3 linked regions of the Oryzias latipes genome follow. The protein of the gene in region 3 purifies or fractionates together with the protein of the main gene of each other region. This does not show direct contact. Links are inferred from orthologs where the notes say so. Each region holds a gene or a part of one and is shown on either strand. Other genes may lie near its edges. The genes, in order: asb6, ankyrin repeat and SOCS box protein 1 and rnf7.

Region 1 (3,746 bases), on a different chromosome or scaffold from region 3:
AAAATCAGATTAGTTTCCGTGTAGCAGTCTTTCCGGGGTTCAGTGTCAGTAAAGCGGAGTTTAATATGTAAAATAAGGAGCTCAGAGACACGTTTGGGTGTAGACAATCGCTGCAGCCTTTATTCTCCTTTTCATTCCCATATCCTGAAGTTCATTTGTCTCATTACGTCATGAACCTGTCATCCCAACACCAATGCGGAAGTAAACAGTCTTACAAACGCCCCCTCCTGCAGATGAAATGTCCCGTTTCAGCATAAAACAATAAAGAGGAATGAAAATAGTGTTTTATATTGGCTTTGGAACGTTGAAAATGCCAAAAAAAGTGCTCCTCCTTTTGTGTGACGGAAGCGTCACACAGACGTAGAGTCTTGTCTTTGGTGGAGGAAGAAAGGATTCAAGCAAACAGCTGCAGGGACACCGACGACGGCTTCATCGGGCTGCAGAGATCCTGCAAACCAACCATCAATAAATAAAACTTTAATGAATCGGAAATCAAACAAATGACCTTCCAGACATTTGGAACGTTATCAATAAACATTCAGCTCACCTGTTCAACAAAGTATAGTCGGTCTTCTCTGCGGCTGCACGGCGTTCACCTGCTGCTCTGCATGCTCACTTCCACTGTAATCTCCTAAAATTACGAGTTTTTTCTCCTAAATTTACGAGTTTTTATCTCCTAAATTTACGAGTTTTTATCTCCTAAATTTACGAGATAAAATCTCGTAATTTTACTTTTTTTTTTTTTTTGGTGGCTCTATTTTTTTTTTTTTTTTTTTTTGTGGCCCTAATACTCCGTCGTACAATTTAGCTCACTCTTATTAAAAAAAAAAAAAAAAAAAAAAAAAAAAAAGAACGGCATTACATTAAAAAAAAGTTTTTCTTTTTCTCACAAACACATTTTTTCCCAACGGACAGTTTCCTAGGAACTATTGTGCGTCTAGTGGTTTCAGTGGGAATTAATCAAGCGCCGGCCAACTTCCTGTTGTGAAGAGGGAACTCTGTTGTGAGTAGCTGTGAAATTGCTAAGATTCGAACAAGTTTTTCTTTTTTCTAAGCAATTCTTCTCACTTCATCTTATGTTCAGTTTTGTCTATCGTGCAGTAATTTGTAGGATTTGTTCTAGAACCATACGTGACTCTCACGACGTTCTGTTTCTGCTCTTAAATTTTAAAACGAAAAAAAAAAAAAAACGAGATAGATCATAGTTGCCGCTAACTCTGATTGGCTACATCGTGTGTAACGATATTTGGAAAAAAAAGAACAGTAGAAGAAAAAATGTAATATCAACAATTTAGGGCTACACAGTGCTGTATGAACGAAATATCGTTTTTCTTACCTTGAAAGTCTCTAACACGTTTTTCCTGCGTTAGAATCAGACGTGTCTGAGACCGGACCGGAAGAGCCATGCCTTTTCTCCATGGATTTCGGAGAATCATCTATGAATATCAGCCACTGGTAGATGCTGTCATGCGCGTAATTGGTTTGGAGGAAGACAACAGGCATCCCGAAAACTGGTACGTTTGCCAAACCAATATTTAGCAGATGGTCGATGATTGATGGTTGATTTTTCCCTCATCATGAGGGGAAAAAAAAGGCCCTGTAGGTTTGATTGAGACCTTTTCTTTCTTATTTGCCTTGTTAGGAGTCCCGATGATGAGCCCAGAAGATGCAGCTCTTTAGTGGAGCTTCTGGAGCAGGAGTCCCAGTCAGAGATGTTTGTTGAAGGCATCAGTTATGCACTTTTTAAGGTGGCAGAGCAGGGATTCGCTTATGCTGCCAAAATCCTCCTACGCTATGGAGCTGATGTCAATTTTGAAGGTAAATATTCAGATTTGGTCACGTTTCTCCCCAGTGGAAATCCATGTAATTATTGCCTAAATGATTTTCCTCCATTTATGTCATGTTAGAAATCTCATTCATTTGTAAATCCAGTTTTGGGCTAATTTTAATGATGATTCATTTTGTAAAATTGGCAAATTAGTATTAAACTAGTATTAATTTAAGTGAAAGCAACTCCAGTTGACCTACACGTGTGTGCGTGTTGCTTGTTCTTCCTTTTGAACCTGTCCCCTGAAGAACCGGTGAGCTACATTCTTAGCTGCGCTCAGGAACCTTTTGACATTTGACCCTCCCAGTGATGCTGAGTGTTAAGCTCCGCCCTCAGGGGCTGACAGTCCACCTCTAGGCCGTTGAGTAATTGGACATTTCAGTGAGAAGATGAGTGTTTGTCACTGGATTGATCAAAGCTGTCGTCAGTCTCTGCTGTGGTGACCTCTACTGGTTTTGGATGCACACTTCCTCTCCTATGTACTCAGTGAATTCCTGCAGAAACAGCTTCATTCATGTTTAACATGAATAAAGTTGCTGCAGTAAGTTAGTTTTCAAAACGGATCATGTTTTTGCTGTTCTTTTGCATTTAAATTGAAACTATGTTTTCTTGACAGCTGTTTTAAAGTAAATATTATTACAGTTGATGTAGGATTTTTTTTATTTCATTTCTGTTTTTGGTTTTGGATCACAGTTTTCAGAAATGTTATCTAATATTCTCATGTTTTAACTGCCACAGCAATTTAACAACATTTGAAAACATTAATCATTTTTTCAATGCAATTTTGAACTTTTTTTTGTTCTTTTTTTTTCTTCTCCCCAGGACATTGTGTTCACTGTTCTGATTGGCTAAAGGCCTTGTGTCAGTCAATCTCCTTCTTGTGTCTCCTGTACAGAATGTGGGCAGTTTGCCAGTTTTATATGAACCTTTTCATTCTATAACACTGGATTCATTTTGTGAGTTTAAACAAGAGAAAAGAGTAAAAATGTTCCTGTCTGTCTGAGAAAATGTATACGGTGTGTAGTGAGGGAGGGGTTTTACAGCCGTTAAACATCTGGAATCCTACTTCGCGGATTTACCTATCGCGGGTTATTTTTAGAACGTAACCCCACAGTAAACAAGGAAACGCTGTAATCAATGAATGTGAACTTTTTTTGTTTTGTTTTCAAGACCCAGTGTCCTATTACAACCCACTGCACATAGCTGTGTTGAGGAACCGGCCAAATATGGTGAGGCTGCTTGCTGGACACGGAGCAGACATCGAAAAGAGGGACCGAGTGAGAACTTAACCAATTTTTCTTCTACATTTCTCAATTGTTCTGGATATGGGAATATACAATCCTGCATGTCCTTTTCAGATTCACGAGAGCAGTCCCTTAGATTTAGCGAGTGAGGAGTCGGAGAGGCTGCCCTGTCTGCTCACCTTATTGGACCTCGGTGCTGCTGTGAACGCTAGAGACAAGCACGGTGCGTTTAAATCGGCCGACGTCATTCCACAATATCCATCTGTGCCCTTTTAATTCTAAAAAGGGTTGCTTTCCTCTCAAATCGAAAGGGAAAACGCCGCTGCTACATGCATTAGCGAGCAGCGATGGACTTACTGTGCACAACATCGAGAACATACAGCTGCTACTTGAGAGGGGTAAGAAGGAAATCATTCTGATCTTTTTCATCTTGCTTCCTTGCTTCAACTGTTCAAATTGTGCCAGTGGTATTTTAGAATTGATTGTAAAACGTTTTCCTTAAAGGTTCTGATGTTAGCGCTGCAACAGTCGATGGAGAAACCGTTGAATCATCTTTGGTGTTTCTGGTCAAAGAGGCTCTGGATGCCAGTGTGGAGGACGCTGCTGAGATTGGCGGCTTCTGCTTGAAAGTCACCCGGCTACTGCTAGCTCACGGCGTGGACCCCAGCAGCTGT
Region 2 (3,756 bases), on a different chromosome or scaffold from region 3:
CGCAGGGTGCTCTATTTTTAATTTTTATTTTTATTTTTTTGGCAGCTGTTAATTGCTGCCATCCAAAATAAACAAACAAACAAACGTACATTCAAAGAATTGTCAAATTAACTTTAAAAGCCCAGAAGAAAATGTCTCACGAGTTATTTATGTTTGTTTAAGGTGGTATTTCAAATCAAATCAAATCAACCTTTATTTATATAGCACCTTTACAACAACACGTCACTCAAAGTGCTGTGCATAAAATACAATAAAGTTTAAAAACAAGATGACAAGACAAACAGTGCCGACAACCCCCCCCCCCACACACACACACACACACACACACACACACACCCACGCACACCATGATATAAAGAGTGATGAAATGATAGAATGTAGAGACCTGGCTTTGTCCTGAAGTGGGGAAATGATATTTTGGGGACATGTCCACATCAGTGACCCCCACCCAAGTTCACGGAGTACACTACCACAGGACCCCCCAGATCCAATCAAAAGAGTCAGAGTCAGACCCGGGAGATCCCATTGCAGCGACCCCTTTCACTGAGAAGGGTCAGTCACCGATGTGGAGGATCCCTTAGAGGAAATTTATGGTTATTTAAACTGTAAACATTCCAGCTCATCAAACTTAAAAGTTTAATACATAAGTCATCCATGCAGACTAATAATTGAACTGAAATCCATTCAAAAGTTTGACCTTCAATGGCAGCAACTTGAAACAGTGAATTTTGAAAAATGTATTGAGTTAAATAGCTTTTTTTAAATTGTATTTATTTATTTTACTTCACCCTTATTTATTTCTAAAATCTTTAGTGAATCTAACCCTTTTTTTCAGTAGTTGGTTTGGTTAAAACCCGCGCTGGCACTTTAAGCTGCACAGCCAGCCCGGAAGTGACGCCGTGATCTGCGCAGACGCCTTCGTCAACTCCGTCCTGCTTGTTTATGCTCTCCTGTCTGGTCCGGACCCCCGCCTGTCCCTGCGTCTGTGTGTCGGGATCGCCTCTGCGTTCAGTCGTGCAGCATGGCTGACGGTCCGGACGCGGACGAACCGCCCAGTATCCGGTTCCTTCCGCTCATCACCGTGTCCGACCTGCCCACATCCACCCCTGCAGGTGAGCAAGTCTGCACGAGCCGCGAGCCGCCACCAACCAACCCGTCCATCATCTGTCACCCTGATGCAGACGGCATAAGATGTTCTGACTGAACCAGAAGTACCGCAAATTCCCATAGACGTCTATAGAGAAATAAACAGCGTCTCTATAAATAAACTATTTTTTTATTTAACATGTTCCAATCTTTCTAATCCTAAATTTTTCTTTAGTGCATTCAAGTCATAAACCGACCAATCAGATCCCTCCATTAAGTTAGGCGGTGCCTTCTGGCCCCAACATCCAATGATCAAAACATTTGACTGACAGATGTCGTGCAGCCTAGGCTCTTTCATGTTTTAAATATATAAGGAAAACTCAAACTGATGTTTGGAAGTGTGCTCTGTAGGCCGCAACCTGAAGGAATGGCTTCAGGAGCAGTTCTGCGACAAACCTCTGGAGCAGGATGACATGCGGCTCCACAACGCGGCCTACGTGGGAGACCTGGACACCCTGAGGAACCTGCTGCAGGAGGACAGCTTCCGACTGTGAGACCAAACTTTAAGAAAGGCTGCAGCTCTGTGGCTGATTCAACTCATTAAAGATTAAAAAGTTGCAATCGGAAACTCTAAAAAACAAAAACAGAAGCCCAAATCATTACATCCCCACTACTGTGCTTTACAGTTGGTGATTCAGCCAAATATACGAATGCTAGAAAACTTCTTGTTCTTTTTTAGAATTATGTACAATGGGCCTAAAGTTCAAATCACATCAATAAATCTCAAAAATCCCATTGTCAATTTTTAAAATAATTTATTTGTGTATTATGGTGGAAAATAAGGTTTTGGTCACCAACAAACAAGCACGATTTCTGGCTCCCACAGACCTGTAACATCTTCTGGAAGAGGATCCTCTGTCCTCCACTCATTACCTGTATTAATAATACCAGTTTGAGCTCATTATCTATACAAAAGACACCTGTCCACAGCCTCAAACTCCACTATGGCTGAGACCAAAGAGCTGTCTAAGGACACCAGAAACTAAATTGTTGATCTGCACCAGGCTGGAAGACAGAATCTGTAACAGGTAAGCAGCTTGGTCTGAAGAAATCAATTATTAGGAAAGGAAGTCATGCAATACCACTGACAATCTTCCTCCACCTGGGGCTCCCCGCAAGATATCGCCCCATGGGGTCCAAATGATCACAAGAACAGTGAACAAAAATCCCAGAACCACACGGGGGGACCTAGTGAATGACCTGCCAAGAGCTGGGACCAAAGTAACAAAGGCTACCATCAGTAACACACTACGCCACCAGAGACTCAAACCCTGCAGTGCCAGACGTGTCCCCCTGCTGAAGCCAGTACATGTGCCGGCCCGTCTAAAGTTTGCTAGAGAGCATTTGGATGGTCCAGAAGAGGATCTGGAGAATGTCCTATGGTCAGATATAACCAAAATAGAACCTTTTGGCAAGAACTCTACTCGTCGTGTTGAAAGGAGAAAGAATGCTGAGTGTCATCCAAAGAACACCATACCTACTGTAAAGCATGGGGGTGGAAACATCATGCTTTGGGGCTGTTAGTCACCAACAGGACCAGGACGACTGATACGTGTAAAGCACACGTGTCAAACTCAAGGCTTGGGATGTGGCCCTCCATGTCATTTTATGTGTGCGGCAAGATGCTGGGGATCTTCCACCAGTCTGTGGTAGCCAGCACCCTGTTCTCCTCCGTGGTCTGCTGGGGAAGCAGCATTGCAGTCAGTGACACCAACAGACTGAACAAGCTGATCAGGAAGGCGGGTTCTGTCATTGGCTGCAAACAGGAAACATTTGAAGCAGTGATGGAGAGGAGGTCACGGAACAGACTCCTTTCAATCATGGACAACCCAGAGCATCCTCTCCACCCTGTTCTGGACAAACAGCGGAGCTCCTTCTCTAGGAGGCTCAGACAGCTCCGCTCCAAAACTGCCCGGTACCAGAAATCCTTCCTACCCGATACAATAACCCTGTACAACAACTCACTGTGCAAAAGATAACCTTTGCACATTTTTTTATTAGCTATTTATTAATTTTTTTCTATTTTGCACATTTCTTTTGCACATCTTTTTACCTGCACTGTTCTGTAAATAGCTTTTTAAATTATACTACCTTGTTTTTTGCATTTATGCTACATTTTCTTTGTTCTTTTTTTATATTATTCTTAGTCTTTTTTTTTTCCCCTCTGCTGTCAGTTGCTATGGTGACAAACAAATTTCCCACGTGTGGGATCAATAAAGTATTTCTGATTCTGATTCTAAAAATCAAACAATGTGATTTTCTGGATTTGTTTTGTTCTCATTTTGACTCCCATAGTTGAGTTTTACCTATGAGGAAAATTACAGGCTTCTCATTTATTTTTAAGTGGGAGAACCTGCACAATTAGTGGCTTACTAAACCTGTTTTCCCCCACTGTATGAAATATCTCAGACAATTCAAAAAGGAAAACAATTTAAAAAAAATGTCATTGTTTAACATTTAATTTTTTAAATCTGGAAATAACTTGAGTTTTCTAAAATATTTCATCTTTATTTAGCTTACATTTTTTGGGGTCTTTTTTAGTCATGTTTTGTTTTCTGGAATTTTTTTGCAAATTTCTAAAATGTTTTTTTTTTATATGAACAGTTTTCC
Region 3 (2,993 bases):
TTTGTGGATCTCTAAACAGAAACACGTTTAAGGACAAAGCAGCTTCGAAATGGAAGGCTTTGAAGGAAGCAACGCTCCTCTGAACTTACTGTTGACCGTCCATCCTGAGAAATGGACTCCTTTAACAAAAATGACAAAAGCAAAGCATTGATGTCATTCTAGAAAAAAAAAGTATTTTATGATAGTAAATTTGATATCTGTATAAAAGAATTTCTGTGTATAGCTGGAAATTTGTTTGGTTGTGTTTAAATACATCTGATGAAATGAGGTAGCATTTATTTTTATTTTTTTATTGTCTTGTATACTATAATTTATGTTAAATAGGTAATAAATATTAAGGTGTTGTTAGACAGCAGCATTAAAGAGAAAACTTTATATTGTGTTTTTTCCTAAATTATAATACTACACTGTAGTTAATTATATTAATGGCTTGTTTTTTATATAAACATACAAATTAGATGTTCATCTTTATATGAAGCATGTTTACATAACAAATGATGTATATTTTTTACATAAGCTGGTGTGTTAAAATGTCATTTAATAAAATAGCTAATGAAACCTTTCCTGACTGATTACATTTTAGATTTTTCTTTGTCCATATCTTCAGTGGAGCATTCCTTAATAATGAGTAGTTTATATGCTACAGATTACAGTTTCAAGACAAAATTAGTTTTTAAAATTAAGACATTACATTTTTTATTGAAATATAAAGCATGTTAGATGTTTTTATATAATTTCCTAAAATACAATAAATTGTCTTGAAGCATATTTTAAAAAAATTGCATACACTATAAAACAGGTGCAAACTTCAAGATGGTTTCTTCTTTTTACTAAAAATAGAGAAACAGCGCCCTCTGCCGTCGCTGTGAGAACAAGCATCCAGCTTGTTTAGCTAAGCTAACGTGGGAGCTGCAGAGATGGACGACGGGGACGAGCCGGGTTTGGTGCTTTCTCACACCTCTTCGGGATCCAAGACGGGGAGTGACAAGATGTTTTCCCTGAAGAAATGGAACGCTGTGGCCATGTGGAGCTGGGACGTGGAATGCGACACGTGTGCGATTTGTCGGGTACAAGTAATGGGTAAGTGTTTGACAGCTAGCTTGGGACGCATACCCGGCTAACCCGTGCTAGCTTAGCTAACACGGACGTGTTTGGTGGATGTAGGCTGCTTGGTGCTTTAACTTTATTTCTGACACTTTTACAGACGCGTGCCTCCGATGTCAGGCGGAGAACAAACAGGAAGACTGTGTCGGTAAGACGCCCCGAGCTCTAAAAGTTGCATCAACAGCACAATCGGTTAACCGGATATGCTAAAGAGCGTTATCATCAACCCTGCGTCCCACCACAATAAAAGCTCAGGCGCGCAGCTTTCACGATATTGAAAGAAAAAAGTTATTATTATTATTTTATGTAAAATACAACAAAAGAACATAGAACAATAACAGTGAGAATGCCAGAGTTTGGCACATACACTACAAAACACATTGTAATACATTAAAAACATCCAACCATAGACAGCTTTCTTAATGTTTTTGTAGTTTTCTTACATTGGCAACAAAATAAACACTGAAAACAAAAAAACTGTTTTGTGATTTTTTTAAATTTACCAAATAGCCTGTAATAAAGAGATGAATTGCCACTTTTATGTTCAAGTTCATGTTTTTTAATAATTTGAATAAAGCAATCGTTCGTTATACATGTCCTCCATCATCAAAAAACAAAAAAAATCACAAGAACATGATAAGAACGCCAAAAACGTGATTTTCATTGGAGGTGGTCTTTAATAGTTTGAGACACAATCAAACGAACTTTAATGTTCTTCCCTTCTTCATGTGAAGATTTCTCTATAATCTGTCACAGAAGTCCTGCTGTGTTTGTGAAAATAAGAGTACTAATGAAAACGTACATGTTTCATACAATATATTGTCTTTGAACATGTTTGTCATTCAGTTTTTAACCTGTTTGTCTGCCTCCATCTTCCAGTTGTTTGGGGGGAGTGCAACCACTCCTTCCACAACTGCTGCATGTCCCTCTGGGTGAAGCAGAACAACCGTTGCCCCCTCTGCCAACAAGACTGGGTGGTGCAGAGAATCGGCAAATGAGGACTGAGCCCGTGTTTTCTTCAGAGCCGTCCCGGCCTTCTCCTGTGCCGTCTTCCTGCTCGCCATCGCATGTTTCCTGTAGTCACAGCGTAAAAGGAGGGCGGGGAACAAAAACGCGTACAGATCAGCTGCTCTACCCCTTTAGAAGCCTCATGGAGGGATGGATGACAATTTACAGTGTTTGACATTTAAGATTAACTTTGATGTATGTTGCGATGTTTGGCACAAGAAGTGGTTTTTATTTTAGAAATAAAAGAATTGTGAAAGCTGCAGGTCTGTTTTCATTTGAATAGTTTCCATTAATCCTATATAACCATTTGCATCATATTTTATACATGCCTTCCTGAGACCCCAATATTATTAACATGATCCAAACTTTCTTTAAAAACCATTGGTCCATGTTTTCTGTCCTGTAATTCATCATCATTCCACTAGGGGCAGTAGAATGACTTTTCCTGCTGATTTCAAAATGGCTGTTTCCATGAAATCTCAAAAACACTTGACGGGAAACGTTTAGCTAATTTTCTAAATTTTATGCTGAGAATAACTCATCTATTGTTTTACACTTTTCTAAATGACTACTGAAAAAACACACAAGTCTTTGATAATTAACTTTTTATAACACATTGACCCAATGTGGTCACATTTACCCATGGGTCAAATGTGAGAGTGGATAAATAAGGTGATTTTATTTTCCCCTAAACACTAATTTTTTTTTCCCTAAGAACTAATGTCAATTTTTTTGCATCTTAAAATTACATTGTTGTGAGATAAAACTTACCAAAACACCCGACATACCGTAATTGATTATATCTATATCATTACAACATGATTTGGCTGTATTTTTATACATGTAAAAAACAAAATTTCTGTCAGTTCCTTGATGTTGTA

Evidence for each region.
Region 1: the proteins of rnf7 (region 3) and asb6 purify together in Homo sapiens (co-immunoprecipitation; 4 studies listed by BioGRID and IntAct, counting the BioPlex papers as one, with this or other methods). This does not show direct contact. The link is inferred for Oryzias latipes from reciprocal best matches to the Homo sapiens genes RNF7 and ASB6.
Region 2: the proteins of rnf7 (region 3) and ankyrin repeat and SOCS box protein 1 purify together in Homo sapiens (co-immunoprecipitation; 3 studies listed by BioGRID and IntAct, with this or other methods). This does not show direct contact. The link is inferred for Oryzias latipes from reciprocal best matches to the Homo sapiens genes RNF7 and ASB1.

What each region holds. Positions count from the first base shown.
Region 1 is NC_019867.2:19,701,727-19,705,472, reverse strand, and holds the start of asb6 (ankyrin repeat and SOCS box protein 6), read left to right. Parts: upstream 1-884; 5' UTR 885-1,003; intron 1,004-1,370; 5' UTR 1,371-1,404; coding exon 1,405-1,514; intron 1,515-1,642; coding exon 1,643-1,818; intron 1,819-2,998; coding exon 2,999-3,105; intron 3,106-3,186; coding exon 3,187-3,295; intron 3,296-3,383; coding exon 3,384-3,470; intron 3,471-3,576; coding exon 3,577-3,746. UniProt on the Homo sapiens protein: Probable substrate-recognition component of a SCF-like ECS (Elongin-Cullin-SOCS-box protein) E3 ubiquitin-protein ligase complex which mediates the ubiquitination and subsequent proteasomal degradation of target proteins.
Region 2 is NC_019879.2:26,396,311-26,400,066, reverse strand, and holds the start of ankyrin repeat and SOCS box protein 1, read left to right. Parts: upstream 1-895; 5' UTR 896-1,021; coding exon 1,022-1,112; intron 1,113-1,497; coding exon 1,498-1,636; intron 1,637-3,756. UniProt on the Homo sapiens protein: Probable substrate-recognition component of a SCF-like ECS (Elongin-Cullin-SOCS-box protein) E3 ligase complex which mediates the ubiquitination and subsequent proteasomal degradation of target proteins.
Region 3 is NC_019871.2:22,564,690-22,567,682, reverse strand, and holds rnf7 (RING-box protein 2), read left to right. Parts: upstream 1-859; 5' UTR 860-917; coding exon 918-1,080; intron 1,081-1,204; coding exon 1,205-1,252; intron 1,253-1,983; coding exon 1,984-2,102; 3' UTR 2,103-2,373; downstream 2,374-2,993. UniProt on the Homo sapiens protein: Catalytic component of multiple cullin-5-RING E3 ubiquitin-protein ligase complexes (ECS complexes), which mediate the ubiquitination and subsequent proteasomal degradation of target proteins.